2 linked regions of the Mytilus edulis genome follow. The protein of the gene in region 2 purifies or fractionates together with the protein of the main gene of each other region. This does not show direct contact. Links are inferred from orthologs where the notes say so. Each region holds a gene or a part of one and is shown on either strand. Other genes may lie near its edges.

Region 1 (8,755 bases), on a different chromosome or scaffold from region 2:
TAATTCATCTTTTGCAGCCTATAAATTGAATGTATATTAAGAACCATGTAATTTATTTTGTGCAGTCAAAGTTTTCAATGTTCAAGAACCATATAATTTATCTATCAGCCTATAAATATATTGAATGTTGATAGTGGTGATCTTTGACATATATGAGGCCCATCTCCGGGTGCAGGATTTTCTACATGTATTGAGGCCAACCTCCGGGTGCAGGATTTTCTCGCTGCATTGAAGACCTATTGGTGGCCATTGGCTGTTATCTGCTCTTTGGTCAGGTTATTGTTTCTTTGAAATTCCCAATTTCCATTCTTAATTATATTGTTTTTAAACAACATCTGACTTGTACATACTAATAAATATAATATAATTAACCTTCAGCAATTAGTGTAACATCACAAAGAATTTTATCATTTTTGAGTTTGTTGAGGCCTTGTAATATCATCATTCCATGCTCAGGTCTTTCCTCCACACGACACACTTCAATAGCAGGGCTATCTTGAGCAATTTCTTCAGCCATATTGGATAATTTTAGTTTCTTTGTAGCTGAACAATCAACTTGGTTCATTTAACCCCATTCTGTAAAGAAAAAGATAACTATGCATTCATATTATCATGTACATTATGTAATTTTTAATCCAGGGACATTAGTAAAGGTTTCAAAATCCTAGCTGAAACCCTGGTTCCAGTTACATCTGAAAAAAAGTTAGGGTAGGAAGGTAGGGATTTTTTTTAATTTTATGGTTTTTTTTTACCTTGAGTCTATGGGAGCTTCATTCTGACTTTAACAGTGCTTAATGAAAAATGACAATAAAATCTTTAGGGTAGGCTAATTTCAAGACAAAAAAGTAGGGAAGGTAGGGTCACTGGAACCACACATATTTTTATTTGGCCTTAACATAGTTATCCAAGTTAGCATCAATTTTTTTTTCCTGTCAGGAGTTTGGCAGTCATTTTCCAGCTATTTTGGTAAATATGTTAGGACTTCAAAATGAGGCTCAGTTTTCTGTCAACCATCCCCTTAGTAGTATTGGCAAATCCAATAAAGAATTCACAAACTGAGGATTGATGCAAATCATTAATGACAAGAAGTTTCATACCTGTTAAAAGATGAATACTGATTTCTGAAGGGCAAAAGTTTAAAATTGAAATGGTTATAATGTCAGTTTTAAATTGCAAATTCCATAGTCATGATAGTAATACATTTAAACCATGCAATTCTGAATGTAAACAGGAGTATTTATTTGATTGTTTACTACGAAATGAATTCTGAATTATGACATGTATATATCATGTAATGGAATTTCTTCAGATTATCAAGTTACAGCAAGTTGCAGTTAATAATCAGGTATTTACTTTTTAACTACTATGTTGATTTATAATGGTCAATAATTGTTATTATTATGTTCTGTTTTAAAAAACGGGAGCTAATGGATTACTGTGTAAATCAATAAAAGCACATGTATGATTTGTTGAACCTTTTTCTTTGTAATAGAATTAAGATTTTGTATCTTAATCTATATTTTCATTAGCATTACTAAAACATTTCATGCTTTCGAAGGGTCGTCATGATCATAATGCAATAATTATCAATGGCAGGGATCATTTGGTGGAAAATAATTTACAATATTGGGGATTATACATGTTATAAGATAATGGAAATTTAATAAACAACTTTAAAAGGAGTATGTTCGATAAGGTCCTAAAATGGCCCACTTTTTTAGCGTAAATTTCAAATTCGGATTTATTGACCAATATCACGATAAATTATAGCTAATACATTGACTAGATAGGAAATAAGCCATTTTGTTTAAAATTTTACGTTTCTGCGTTTCATTATGACGTCACAAGTTGTACTCATACTGATTTTTCACGAAAAAATCAATGAAAATGGGTAAAATTCCAAAGATTATTTGACAGGAAACATAGAGCACATACGTCGACAACAAAGATCTTTTAAGGAGGCTCGAGGGTATAAAAATTTCAGAAAAAAAATAAACATTTGTTTTTCATTTCAAATTTTTATTTGTTACCTTTTGTAGTTGTTACTTATCATATGGTACAAAAATCATTCAAAACAAACAATTTTTGTTGGCCCCAGATGACTTTTAAAATGTATACATCATTGAAAAAGTTCCAAATTATCTCCCTTTGGTGGAAAAATGCCATTTTTTGGCTTTAAAATTGAAATGTCTTTTTTAACTCATCGGTGACCTATATTTTTTAATATAATTTCCATATAAGCTGTACTTAAACTAAATTATTGTAAAATTTGAGCGATTTCTGTAATAAATTTCTTTCTTTTTTTTTCGATATTACCTTTATTTCTCCTATTACTTCAACAGAAAAAAAACACCTTTACAAAAATGTATGCTTCTTTCGAAGGCAGATTGTGAGCGCAAATGAACGGTGACCCCACTTTTTTATTTTATTTTTCTGTTAACTCTAAGATAAAGTTCATTTATAGAAAAATATAGAGAAATCCTATATAAATGATTTAGACCCGCGAACCCCCTTAAAATAATGTTTGTGAAGACATTTAACATGTCTTATTTGAATATTAAGCTTGTCGACGCCTGTGCTCTATGTTTCCTGGTCCTTTATTTGGTTGAAATCCCGCTGATTTTGTCAAATTTCACCAAAATCCCTTATCTTGACCGTTTTGGAATGTAAAAATCGTTGTGTTAGAATTAAACTTTGACAAAAACAGCTCTGTTTAACTTTTTCACATGTCTTTAAGGCAACTTAAAACAATTTTTGTCTTGTAACCATGAACTTTATAATTGGGGCCAAATATGGCACTTACCAAACTTACTCCTTTACACAAAAGCCAAACTACAAACAGTGCCACATTACATCGACAGAACAGGCAGATTTAATACTGCTGTTCATCAATTCCAATCTTAACCAGCGCATACCAATTTAAAGCACAAAGAAGAAAATACGTTGAGGAAAACGCACCAGAGAGGAAAACTGCACATTGGGACAATTCGTGCCAACAGGCCTCAAGATTGAGGATTGAGGATATACAACTACAAGCTCAAGTGAGTCTATAAAATCAACAACTGAAGGTTTAAACTTCCCAAGTTAACAATGTTCAGACTTTTAATGGCAATATCTAACTTATTTGTAGCTCAAATAACTAGAACTTCAGGATGACACATCTGAACAGACAAAAAATAACTTAAGTCTATAAATTCCCAATACAAAGTTGGCAAAGCAGAAGTAAGATATAGTATACAGGATGGATATATGATGAAAATAACCCAGGGGAAATCTAAAATCACTTTATGAAGTCACTTTGCAGAGAAGTTGCATCCAATAAATTATTAACGTTAAGGAGACTGAAAAATGGCTTTGACCGCATTTATCAGCTCTTGAAACGTCTCATATAGCATAAAATGCTTGTGACTGCTTACATTAACATCCTACACATGTATCTTAAGCTTTGTAAACACTGTCATCTTTATTTTCAGCCCATGACGGATGACCATGACCGACAGCACTATCGGAAATGACATCATGCAAATTTTGCATGTGTACTGAACCCGGTGTCCGGGAAAAATGTAAACATCAACGTTGCGTTCTATAAAAATTGTGAAGTGATAGATATGGCACATCTGAACCCATTTTATAGATAATCAATCATAGATTATCTCAGATAAAGTATGATTTTCTCAGATAAACTATGATTTTCTCAGTATTTTACATTAAGCTCCGATAAACCCGGGATTATCTCGATTTTTTTTCAGATTATCCGGATTTTTCTCAGAATTTTCAGATAAACCGGGATTTTCTCAGCTATATGCATATTTGATATAATTCATTATATTTCTCAAAATTAATATACGACAAGTATATCAAAAATAATGACGCTCAGACGGATTGAAACGAGGGAAAATGAAGTTGTAGTATAACATTTCATAGGAAGTACAGCAGCCGGTATTAGACGGAATAATATTGAACGATGTCTTTATCAATAGATAAGTTACATTACCTTTTATACGGCGTATATGTATGATTATAGTCTTACTCGTTTGTTTACTTTAGAAGTAGAGCTGTTTGATCGTATAACAATATGTTTGTTCCTTTTCTCAGAAACAACCTCACTGAATGAGTTCATATTTGCTCATTAGCTTGACAACAGCGACGAGTTTTAACGTGTGTATATATACACTTTCTGGTCTGTCTGTCTAAGATAAGTGAACATTTGCCGATACCTTAATTTTGAACTCTCAATATGTTGAAGTACAATAGGGATATGTTTATACAAATAAGAAGACGTGGTATGATTACCAATGACGCAAAAAATACAACCAATTAAACAAACTAACCTGTGACAATTCTGCATCTATTGGTACCAATTTGCTTAAAATCAAACCAAAAAATGATACCAATATATTTTTTTGAAATCTTGTAAACGGACTTTTGTTGACAGATTTTCTACATACATATAGTATCATATATTTTTAAAATATCAATTAAACTCGGCAATTTTTTTATGTACCAATTTCAAGTCCAGAACAGGATGAGACGCTCTCTTTATTTATTATTTTATTTACGAATAGGGGTGTTATACGACCTTGTCCACCCATGAGGGTCTCGCACATGCAGTCGGTTTTCTTATTTTATTGATATTCTGTTAAATTTGGCCGTACAATGACAATTCTCTATATAATTTGCTATACTGGCATGAAAAATAAAAAATATTTTGATTCTGATTTTTTTCCTTTCAAGATAGTATTATAGACTTCATTATCAATGAATGAAAATAACTGTTCTCGTCATGAAAAATATTGCACAAATTTGTTGAGGATAGTTGTTTTGTCTGTAACTCTTGGAGTTCCATTTATAATGTCTTTCGGTTTGAACTTACTGCACACCACGGTAGTAATTACTTTTATGCATATATTTCAAATCTTCCAAAACCAGACCCGATTCAACCACCATATGCGCCATAGATTTTGTTAAAATTTCTAATTAATCACGGGTGCATATACGTTTTCTCATTTCTTTTAGTTTCATTAAAATAACATGTTGATGTCATAAATGTGCAATTAAATATTTGCCGCTGGACGTTAAGCAGCTACATGTATTAATACTCATAATTAGCTATTGCAGCTTTTGTGTTGATGTAAAAATAGCAGGTCCTTTTGTTCCGTAATGTGTCTTATTTGTTAAATTGTTATTCAGCATATTACACTTAAAGCAACGAATAGTAAGATAGCTCCCACGTCCTTGTAATTTTTCTTTCTCTACGTTGAGCAGATTCAGCTCGGCCGTGCAGTTTTGACAATTTTTCAGCGCTTTTGCCAGACTTTAAAGCTTCACAATTCTTCTTCCGTCTTTCCATGCTTTACTGTCAGTACTCTCTTCTGTGTCTATTACCATTTTCTTCAATTTTGTCAAAGTTGTATTTAATCTATTTTTTTTCATCTCCAGTTTTTTCCTTTGATCTCCCGGCTCTTCGGCGGATTTCTCCGTCTTTTAGAAACGGCATGGCCGCTTTTTGGGCCGGTAATTTTTTTTTAATTTGCACAACCGGAGTTATTAAAGCGTCGTCGCGAAATGTTTACTTGCAAAACATACAATTAATCAAAGGTGCCGAAATAAGTAACTTCTGTGCTTAATTAACTAATTCCCGATTTGACTAAACTGGGTGCCGATTTGATCTGGTGCCGAAATGCCGACTAGAATTCCTCGTCAAATCAACACCAAATATGGTCAATTCAGCATCTAGTCTAATTAGGACCCGGTTAATTCGGCACGCAAGGTAGTGATTTCGGCAGCTAAAATTAACATTACGTTTTGCAAGTAAATTAATTTTTTTTTTATATAATAAATCAACAAGTTATGTGTCATGCATAACAGAAGTTCCAATGGAAATTTGTAATTTAGTAGTAATAAAACATCAAAAACTACCTCAAAATAGTTAAAACAACAATTTGGTTAATCTTTTTTTTGCTTGATATAAATTTGGAAGTTTTTAAAATCAATTATTAATAAGACCATACTTTGGCATATAGCCGTTTACTTTTACAAATTGTAACTTGGATGGAGAGTTGTCTCATTGGCACTTATACCGCATCTTGTTATACCTAAGGACGAATTATCATGAATAAGATCATTGAGTAAATTTTAAACAGCAAACAAACTCTATTTTTTTTCAAAAATCTTTATTTATTTATGAACAAAATGGCTATTATACTCAAATTAAATGGAAAGAAAAATTGACTAACCACGTTTGACTTTTCTATTGGTAACGAATTGACCTGGAGCCGATTTGTCCTGTACCCGACAAGAACACCTCATCTACCTTTACCAGCAGAACTCGGCCCAAGTTCTTGTGTTAATTGGGCTCGTGTTGCTCATTTGTTACGTTTGCTGTTATCTGTTGTTTGTTGAATTCAATAATGACTACCTGGCACAATATGACAGGCGTACTAGAAGACAACACAAGTTTCGGCCTACATAAAGACTATTTTGAGTCATCTTTCCCCCAAGCACTATTGCTGTTTGGAATGATCTCCGGGAGGCAATTTGTATGTCACTCTCCCTGAGAATCATGGTATCTTCAATCTAATATTTTGAGGATCCTGTCTGGCTAATTAACTATTGTATTTAAGCCACTGTACATAATGTGAATATGTTTAACATAAAGCTACAACAAATGTTAATTTAATTGTAATTGAACTGTGGCAAATCATTTAATTTTAATTTTATCACAATTTTCGACCTCCATTTTCATGTAGATAGCGCCACAGTTCCAAAATATTCCACACTCCGGCACCGGAGTCTTTCTCGTCCTAGGAAGAAGCTTTCGACTTAACATGTAGTGAACAAATAGTGAACTGTGATGACTATATAGTATATATATATATGCAAGATACAAAATAATTTACAAGTATGTATAAAAACTTCAATTGTTAGGCAGCAACCATTTGATTTTCGGGGTGGGGGGGGGGGGGGGGCTATGGGTTTTTTTTTCTGGACATTTTTTTTTTTCACGACAAGTCGAAAACCATTTTTTTCTTTCAATTTTAGCATAACATATAGTGGCAGCTGAGGGTGAAACAAACAATTTTTTTCTTCTCAGAATCAAAAACAAATTATTTTTTTCTCAAAAAACTGGAAACAAACTTTTTTTCCAAAAAAAAAACATAGCCCCCCCCCCCCCCCCCCCCCCGAAAATCAAATGGTTGCTGCCTTATATAGGCGTACATTTTATCTGTTGTAGTATTTTCTCATTATACTCACTTATTTGAATTGTAGTTTTTTATATTTACTTTTGCTGGAAATGCTATTGAAAACGGTTCTCAAATTTAAATGTTTACAAATTTACCAGTACACCTCCGACATTCCAATCAAACAATCAGACTATTATTCTTGGATGTTCATACTGGTTGTTTGAACTCTTTAAATACCGAAAGAATTGATTTTGTGAACTTATGGCTGGCTACCTAATTATTCATAAAAATATGTTCGCGTTAAATGTTTTTTAATGTGTATGAATCTAATGCGCCCAAGAAGGATTTTTAGAACGCACCCTATATTTGCCGCTTAGAACATAGTTCACATATTTTAACGGTATACATTTGTGTTTAATTGATACTTGACAGTGTTTTTAATTTGATTTTTGTATTTATTCTGATCTTTTATTTATACCAGTCTAATGTCAAATGGAAAACGCAGATGTTTTTGTCTGAGTACACAAGGGACTTGAAAACGCCAAAGGGAGATAATTCCAAAAATCATGGCCGAAGAAAACGTTGGTGATTTGTCGAAGACCGCTAATGGTGAACTTGGTACACAGTTTGAAACTTGTGGTGACGAAAAACAACCAGAAAAGAACACTGTCCCTGTCGAAATGGCGGAAACACATACATTCAAAGTCCCAGGCATAGTAACATATAAACAAAATGAAATAGCTACTAGCACATTAGAACCCAATAATGGCACTACAGAAGCCATAGATAAAACTGACGACAAAGGAACTATCCCAAACAAACTGAGCCTATTATCCCCAGCGGAACAACTGAAAGAGACATCAACACCTATTCCGTACAAGGAGCCATCTTGGGGAGGAATTAGTAATGACAAATATAGTCTTGAAGTTTTGAAAAATGGGGTCATTATTGACAAAATAGATTTAGTCAAATCGTTTTATGTGTTTGGAAGACTGCAAAGTTGTGATGTTACAATGGAACATCCGTCATTGTCAAGACATCATGCTGTTCTTCAATTTTCTAAAATAAAATCTGAAAAGCAGAACATTGGCTGGTATCTTTATGATCTTGACAGTACTCATGGAACATGGATAAATAAAAATAGAGTGTATGCTAACAGATACTATCGTGTACATGTTGGTCATGTACTGAAATTTGGAGGCAGTTCAAGGCTTTATATTTTACAGGTAATATACATAACTTGATTTCCTACAGGGTCATCATTGTTATACAGGGATCTCCATGGATGAAAATTGAACAATGGAGGAACTTTCACCATTACAAACAGTGTAGGAATTCTAAATTATCGTTACAGCAGTTCTCGAGTTATTTGCGATGAAATAATATTTAGTTTTGCGTCTTATTTTGTACTTCTCAAAAAAGGGGGATGCTGATTGCGTAAGTCAAAATAAAGCACATGTTCGACTTGTTAAACTGTTTTCTTTGTAACTGGATTATTAATTTATTTATTTAATCTAAATTATCATAATCATTTGCTGAAACTTAGTTGATTAATTCGACAAATGGATCGT
Region 2 (9,193 bases):
CTTGTAATGTACATGTAGTTCATGAAAAACATGCAACGAAAATATTTATGGGACAGACGGACGAACTGACGGTTGGATGGACGGACAGACAGAGGTAAAACAGTGCACCTCCACTTTTTCGAAGCGGCAGTCTAATGATTGGGTCAACATTAAGACATTACAATACTAATATGATATAATTATCTTTATAGCACTATAAGCCTCAGTCACAATCGGAGCCAAGACAAAATAGATAAAAAACAACTAACACACTGATATCAAATAACAGTCAGTATCAAGACACTATATAATTTAAAAGAATTAACAATGTAATCATCATTTCCCCCATAATAGTAAACTTTTCTTGTGTTAACATCGAAAATTCATCATACTTATATCTACTTTTTAAAGTTCTTACATGTGCTAGAAATATGGTGAAAGAGTTCCTCCCTCAAATTATTATGAAGTGAGCATTGGATTGAAAAATGACGCTCATCCTCAACTTTATCAGCTGTACAATACAATTTTTTTAGTATCTAGCATTTTCAATTCTTAATGTAATGGAAGAGCACCGATTCTGAATTAAGATATGAACTACCTTTCTTAAAATCAATAATATCTAAACATTTCTTTCTTCTTGAAAACAATCTTCAAAAGAAAAACAAGTGTCAAGTTTCCAACAAAACACATAATGTACTAAGTTTTTAAAATTAGACAATTTGTCAAAGACAAGAGGTACAAGAATGTCACACATTATCTTAGATTTTTTACTAGTTTGTTTTTGGCTTTTATACTGTACTCATTCGATTTGAGCAGTCAAAATGCGTTGACTGTATATTTCTATGACATATACATGTACATTGAATTTCACTGACCCGATATCACTTTTCCTTATAAATATTTAGATAGAAGTTGCCGAAATATTCATGTCCGTCATATTTGTTTTTCGTAATAAGTTTTGTTGTAAATCATCATTCCTGCATCTCCACCAACCATAATAAAAGAGACATATTTTTCTAGATTTCAAAATAAGCTCAGGGTATAAAATCGGTATCCCTACAAATATATTGAGTTTCATCTCCCAGACTATGTCTGATCAATCGCTATTGGAAGTGCTGTGCACTACATTGTATCTCCGTATATCGTGGATTCACATTCCCGAACATGTTACCGTATTCATACATTTAATTGGAATTGCTCATCTTTTCTGAGCACATATTTTGTCCTGTTTGTATTCTTATTTTTACAGATCTGGTTATGTATTTGTCTCTTTGTTTTTCCCATTTTGACTGACAGACTGACTGACGCTACATTAGTCCGTTATTTCTGCTACAAAATTAATTTAAATAAAACTCAGATGCGTTATACAAGGAGAGAAAGTGTTGCAACCAAAGAGGGCGGATAGTGTTATCCAACTCCGATATATTCATTTATGTAGTTAATCAGTCAGGGGACTTACTTAAATGAGTGATTTTCTAAATCACTGATTCAAGTAACATTATTTCCATAAAGGTTGAAAGTAAGAGTTGTCTTTCTTTAATAATCACCTAATTAAGTAGTACAAAATAATCACTAGAAGAAGTGATTTAATTTTACTGTAGCTTTAAATATAGAATACTAATGATCCAGGGACTAATTATGTTTCTAAACTTATCAGAACCAACATCTGTGTTGTCTAGGATGACCAGGTCATTTCAGGTGATGACCTTGTACTGAATCTACATAATGACATAAAAATCACTTGTTTAAGTATCATACCTCAATTTCCTTCCCAAAAATCACTTTTTTAAGTATCATTGTTTTATACAACCCCCACTAATTTCAACACCCCTGAACAGTGAAATTTTTATTGGGAACAGTAGAATTTTATTACATAATCTGAAAGATAAAACCTTGAACTTTACAGGAAAAATACTCCCACTCCTGGGAAAAATCTGTTAAGAAAGTATCAGTTCATTATGTAAAGCCATTATTATAGTATTTTTTCAACTAAAATAGAATTTGCAGCTAAATGAAAGCATCAAAGGCATAAACCTTGATACTTAAAAGAAGGAAAAAATACATATTTTTTTTCAATTTTACTAATGAAAAGATATTTTTTAAACCTATGTGTTTAAAATTTTGGTAAAACTACAAAATCACAATTTGTGACAAAACTTCGAATTTGCTACTCAAACAAGTGATTTAAAAATCACTTATTTCAGTAAGTCCCCTGACTGTTAATAGTGGGGGAAACCTCACTCCCCTGATACATGAAAAGCAGAAACCGAAGATCTAGTTAAAGAAGGTAGACCAAGACGAACATGCAAAAAATAGCGAACTAGAACAGCACAGACGGTTGTGACACACAAACAACGAAATATAAATATAAATAAAGTACCTAGACATGTAAAACGAAAGTGGGACGAGGGTAAGGACTGAGCAGTTGCTATAAGCATGTGTATCAACTCCAATATACTGAGACAAATATCCCGCATGAAAAGAATAATTGTAATCAAGACGGACAACCACACATATCATAGAGAACGGAGTTGGTCTTTTTAGAGAAAATTTACCCATACACATAAGAAAAATGCATTGTCGAAATAATGGGCTTTCAGGGTAATGGGTTGTCGGAATAATAGGCTGTCGGAGTAATGGGCTGTCGGAATAGTGGGCTGTCGGAGTAAAGGGCTGTCGTAATAATGGCTGTCGGACTAATGGGATGTCACCATGTTTATATATGTATGCCTTCTTATAAGTCATTTAAGTATTCTATAACTAAACAAAAACTAAAAATTGCAAATTTTGACAGGAACAATACTTTTTTTTTTTTAAATCAAACTTTTTATGATTAGATCATGTACATTGTAGATTAGTATTTATTTTGAACAGATTGAAAAAAAATATTATTAATCAATTTAATGTTGAATAACCACAAAATCATATTGAATCATATGCATTTTTTTTAAGTGTTTCTTCCTTCTGTAGCTCTTTGCCCAAAATTTATTATATTTTTTTTTTGACAATTTGAGTATTTTAACTAGTTATTTAAGAACTACATGTATGGACTGCAAATTGTCAAAAACAAACCACAAGAGCTCCTGATCAGATCTGCAAATGAACTGAAAAGTGATTGCTATACTTATGCAGGCTATGATGCACAGGCACTTGTTTCTACCCATAGGAAGGTCCACTATCCATAATCGACCTTCCTATGGATAGAAGCAAGGAAACAAGTGCCTGTGTTATATGATGTTGCCAAAAAGATAAAAAAAAATATTTATGCAAACCTTCTAAACAAAAAACCAAATACCGCGTCAAGAAATCCAGAAATATTGCCTTCATTTTGAAGAATTCCAATCAAAAGGTTATCATATTGTTGGTTTTTATCGTCCATCGTAATTCGTCTTATTTTTATTTTTTAACGGACAACACACTAACGGGGAAAGACACCCGTGTATCAACGGTCATTGTTATTGTTCCATATACGTTCCTCCTAAAAGGAGCACTCGTAAGTAACCATGGATCACTTCAAAACCAGTGGCGGATCCAGGGGTGGGGGGGGGGGGGGGGGTTCCGGGGGTGCGCACCCCCCTTTATTTTTGCCGATCAATGCATTTGTATCGGGACATATGTTTTGCACCCCCCTTTGCCCTGGGTGCCCTGGGTTAGCACCCCCCCCCTTTCGAAAATTCCTGCATCCGCCCCTGAAAACATCGACAGTTACTTTATGTACTATGTAATGAGTGACTAGTAAAGATGGATATTTCAGTACTGAAATTATTTAAGGAATGACTGTAATACTTTTTCTGTCTATGAAGAAATAACATAAAAAATTTGGTGAATAACGCGCGTAGCGGGTTATTTAACAGTGTGCTCTACATTTTATTTTATGTTATTTCGAAAACCATGAAAAAACGTTGATGACTTCACGGTTACATGACTAAATTATGTCTATGGGCTGATAAAAAAATAACGTCAGCCAATCAGAAGACGCGTTACATCCAAAATTAAATTATTTGATATTATCAAGACAAGACAAATTATATGATAAGTTTGTTGAATATCATACATTATCTGGAACCTGGATAGGTCATGGACCTCCTTTTCGAGATATTTGCATAGGCGGATCATGCCCCCCCGCCCCCCCCCCCCCCCCCCTTGTGGGAAAAATTTGGTTGATTATATAGGGAATCACTGAAGCATGACTGGAGCCCCCCCCTCTTAGGTCAGTCAGCGGGCCCCCCTTATGAAAAGTTCTGGATCCGCCACTGATTTGAGATTTAGAATATGTCGGGAAAAGGCTGACTCAGACTTTTACCTTATATTTGCATTGGTATTATTTGGGTCTCAAACAAAAGAAAGAAAATCAAGAATCTTTTAAAATTTTGCTAAATGACCTTTCATCAGCTATTTAGTCTTATATGAAAAAATAAGTGAGTGTTATGGGGCAAAATATTTTCCATTGTATTGTAAAGAAAAAAACCCAAGGAGTCCGAACATTTGACACAAATTCCAAAACCTCACCGTATATTCTTAACGTATTCAATACAGTAAAAGAAGATCCAGTTAATTATTAGTCTTTGATTGAAATTTCTATAGAAAGATCTATGATTAATCAGAATTTCCAACTAGTCGAGTGTCACGGGAATATATTGATTTCCATGTGAATTGTCATTTTATTTACTTTAACTCTTTACGGTTTTATATGCGGGGACAACCACGTATTTATCCTGGAAGTATAGGACAGCTGATTGGCACACATGTAATCGGTCTTTAAAGATCGATGTAGCATGGGCATTCATAAATTCATTCAGTTCAAGTACAGTAAAACGGAATGGATGGATACCAACCGTTCTTAGAAAATGTTAGAATGTTGTGTCCTATCCGATGGACTGTCCTGAGGGAGTAGAACTTTTGTATTTTTATAGCCATTTTAATTGTTAGAAAGTTGGGCAAGAGATTAACTGGGAAAGTGGAATAATGAAAGATTGACAATTGAATATGTGGGTGGTTGCAAATAAAAAAAATGCCTGTGCAAGTGTTTTGCCGAATGTGTTCGTGAATGAGTGAGAGACAGTGTTAATGGGAGAGTGAGAGAGGCAGAATGTCGGTGTATGAGATAATCTGGCCTTGCAGTAGAGCTATTATGAATAGTTGCAATTGATGAATTGGGTGAGTGAATAATCAGTAGGTTAGATAAATAGAACAATGAGACATAGAATTGCAAGGGATGTGCTGAGACTACTATAATCTATAATAGTAGTCTCAGGTGTGTGGGAAGTGGGAAAAATTAAAATCACCAAAATACTGCGTTCAGAGGAAAATTCAAAACGCAAAGTCCTTTAATAATCAAATAGCAAAATCAAAAGCTCAAACCCATCAAACGATTGTCAACAATTGTCATATTCCTGACTCAGTAAAACTACCATGATAATTTGACTTCAAATATTTCAAGACCTCTACATTTCGATTTCATGGTGTTCTTCAATACAAAAATTTTGTAAATTCAGGCCTCATAACAAATGGAACGATGGTAGTGACTGTCTTTATAGAAGAGTGCTAATCCCAGTTACAGATCACTTTAGCCGTATTTGGCACAACTTTTTGGAATTTTTGATCCTCAATGCTCTTCAACTTTGTACTTGTTTGGCTTTATAAATATTTTGATATGAGCGTCACTGATGAGTCTTATGTAGACGAAACGCGCGTCTGGCGTACTAAATTATAATCCTGGTACCTTTGATAACCAATTAAATAACATAGAATTTTGTGGACACCATCAGCTGGTTGACAATTTGGTAACATGACAACTTATTGTTCCAATAGTCGAAAATACAGCTATGTCCTCTTTTATTTCGATTGTGACATTTATATATTTTGCTGACTTACTACACGAGCAACACGATGGGTTCCACATGTGGACCGGTCCTAATAATCTGATGCCGGATAATCACCCTCGGTTTTTGGTAAGGATTCGTGCTGCTCAGGCGCAAGTTTTCTTTTTAATGTTTTTCGACTTGTTTGTTTTAAATGTCCCATTTCTTCATTCCTTTTCCTGCGCTTTTAGACCTTGGATGTTCACGAGAAATTTTAGATGTAAATTGAGGAATTCAGATTTTGTGAGTTTTAGAAACTAGATACCAGTATATAGTCGTTTTGTAATTTTCCGGTTATGACATTTTGACAGTGTATACATACGTGCATGGTGGGCGATGCATGCATAGCAGGAGGTGTTTACCCTGTTCACTGACACGGTCTTGATCAGTTATATTCTTAGTATATCGGATTCCCCCTTTTTGTGTTTTACCTTAATTTGCCTCTTCTTGATCGATTTAGGATATTTAAACATCGATAAACTACCGTAACTGTTGCTTTAATTTAAAGCCCTTGAAAATATGCTTTGTTACAATTTTATATTTATAAGCATTGTAATTTTCATTGTAAATAATAAATGCTATAGCAGTATTACACACCATATCTTACATACTTTTGATTTTTTAACCCTATATGCTAACATTGCCTATGTAAATCTTAAAATTATTTGCATGCACATTGAACGAAATATTTATGTGACGTATAAAATTTTCTGACGTCAGACACTCAAATCAATGAATGTGTTTGTAGATAGCTGTTTTTGTTTTGTGGCAGTTGGGATTATTATGTTATTATTATTTCCCTTTTTTAAAACTATAAATTTCATATTTCTTTATTTAAGGATTTACATGAAGCTTATTCAGTACATATTTGTTAAATCGCATAGCTTTTGCTATTTGAATTCATTGGTTAAAGATATTTATTTGTATTGTAAAGTTTGATATTTGCATCGTTGCAAAATCTTTGGTTACCTTCTGTGAGAAATTTATATATAAATATATTTTATATAACTGGTATTTGATTATTGTGTCGAATATTCTGAGGACTGATTGTCAGTCCAACCAAGGAAAGCTAAACTTTCCAACTACCGTTAAGGTTAGTGCGTTAGCTACATACCTCCACAGCCCGGGTAATATGAAATAATTGAATGCTCCATTTCTTCATACATTTGGCTCTACATAATAAAAGTTGTACTTTGTTGATTAAATTATATATTGTTTTCACTGTTTTTGGTTTTTATTTACTCAGATATACTTTAGCGCATTACATTTGGCATCAGTCGTTTCCGTACAATTAAATTCACAAACCAGACCAAGCTGTGGTCCGCATCCCCGAATCTTCAGCAGAATTGTTCCTGCTACAGTTTTCTGTTAAATAGTTCCTTTAAAATTGTTATACGATGATGACTGATAGTGGAATTAACTATTTGTGGATTTTTATAAATTCTATACATAACTTTTGGACTATTTTCAATCTCGGTCTATTTCTGATATTTATTCTTAAAAACTTTTGTTTTTTAACCCTATATGCTAACATTGCCTATGTAAATTTTAAAATTTTGTTTGAAAATTGTTTGCATGCACATTGAACGACAAATTTATGTGACGTATAAAATTTTCTGACGTCAGACACACAAATCAATGAATGTGTTTGTAGATAGAAGTTTTTGTGTTCTGTTAAATTGTCCATTTTAAAATTGTTATACGATGATGACTGATGTACCCATATTTTAACTATTTATTTATTGTGTCTGTTTAATAGTTAGCGCATCAATGTAAATATAACGAAATTTGATGAGACTGTCATCAAAGTGAAAGGGTTAGCACTATAATCCACAATTTTCTACATTTGAAAATGCCTGTACCAAGTCAGGTATATGACAGTTCTTGTCCATTCGTTTTTTATGCGTTTTGTTATTTGAAATTGCCATGTGATTATGGACTTTCCAAATTAATTTTCCTCTAGGTTCAGTATTTTTGTGATTTTACTTTTTGAATTCTATCCTAATTCTATCCCTTTTATTTTTTAGAAATTCAAATGTGACGTCACTTTGTGCGTCGATCTCTTCGGCTAACTCGGCTGTGACTTTTTATGTGCTGGTTTAGGTTGTTTTATGTATTTGTTTTTATTCTGTAGTTAGTCACCACTTCCAGTTGATGTTATCATGTATCTCTCTTATATACATTGTCACTTTTATTAACTAACTGTTTACAAAAGTATGAATTATTTTAGATACTAAGGATGTTCTTATCCCAGGCAGAAAACCTTGACCATGTTGAGCAAAACTTTTGTACTTGTTTTGGCTTTCGAACTTTTTTGATCTGAGCGTCACTGGTTAGTCTTTTGTAGACGAGGAGCGCGTCTTGTAAAATATTAAAATATAAACCTGGTACCTTTTGTTAGCTATTATTTGTGTGTTTCTCTGTCCTATATGTTCTCCCATTTGTTTGTATTGTAGTCCTGTCATGCAATGTTGTCATTTTAATGTTACATTTAATATTGCCATAAAAGCGGGAGATTTGGCTAGCCACCAAACCAGGTTACACCCACCATTTCTTTTCTTAGAATGTCCTGTACCAAGTCAGGAAAAAAGTTTATCGACAGGTTGTAGGTATCCCCATGGGTACTAATTGTGCCCCTTTAAAAGCAGACTTGTTTTTGTACTGTTACTAATCACAGTTTATGACTAAACTCAATAAAGACCTGTCGAAATCGCATTTAATTGATAAATTCAACAACAATTACCGTTATCTTGATGATATTTTTTCGTTAAATAATCAAGAATTTTCTCAATATACTGCTGATTTTTTTATTAGTTGTTAGTGGCTTTGAACTAGCTGTCAGATAACTGCGAGTACTCTCAGATCTGTTCCTACTGTCTTTTTGTTGTCGGGATGTAAAAGTACCCGGCCACGTCTACTTGTATTTTTGTCCATCTGATGAGTTAAGCCTATTTCAACTTATTTTTATAGTTCGTTCTTATGTTGTACTGTTATACCACTGTCCCATGTTAGGGGGAGGGTTGGGATCCCGCTAACATGTTTAACCCCGCCACATTTATGTATGTGCCTGTCCCAAGTCAGGAGCCTGTAATTCAGTGGTTGTCGTTTGTTTATGTGTTACAGATTTGTTTTTCGTTCATTTTTTATATAAATAAGGCCGTTAGTTTTCTCGTTTAAATTGTTTTACATTGTCTTATCGGGGCCTGTTATAGCTCACTATGCGGTTTGGGCTTTTTTCGTTGTTGAAAACCGCACGGTGACCTATAGTTGTTAATGTCTGTGTCATTTTGGTCTCTTGTGGACAGTTGTCTCGTTGGAAATCATACCACATCTTCTTTTTTATATTGTTATAT

Evidence for each region.
Region 1: the proteins of nudC domain-containing protein 3-like (region 2) and kelch-like protein 9 purify together in Homo sapiens (co-immunoprecipitation; 3 studies listed by BioGRID and IntAct, with this or other methods). This does not show direct contact. The link is inferred for Mytilus edulis from reciprocal best matches to the Homo sapiens genes NUDCD3 and KLHL9.

What each region holds. Positions count from the first base shown.
Region 1 is NC_092346.1:2,233,354-2,242,108, reverse strand, and holds the start of kelch-like protein 9, read right to left. Parts: upstream 3,549-8,755; 5' UTR 3,417-3,548; intron 577-3,416; 5' UTR 566-576; coding exon 373-565; intron 1-372. Other genes in the region: kanadaptin-like, read left to right, coding at 7,751-8,410.
Region 2 is NC_092352.1:85,867,774-85,876,966, forward strand, and holds the start of nudC domain-containing protein 3-like, read right to left. Parts: upstream 3,452-9,193; 5' UTR 3,359-3,451; coding exon 3,252-3,358; intron 1-3,251.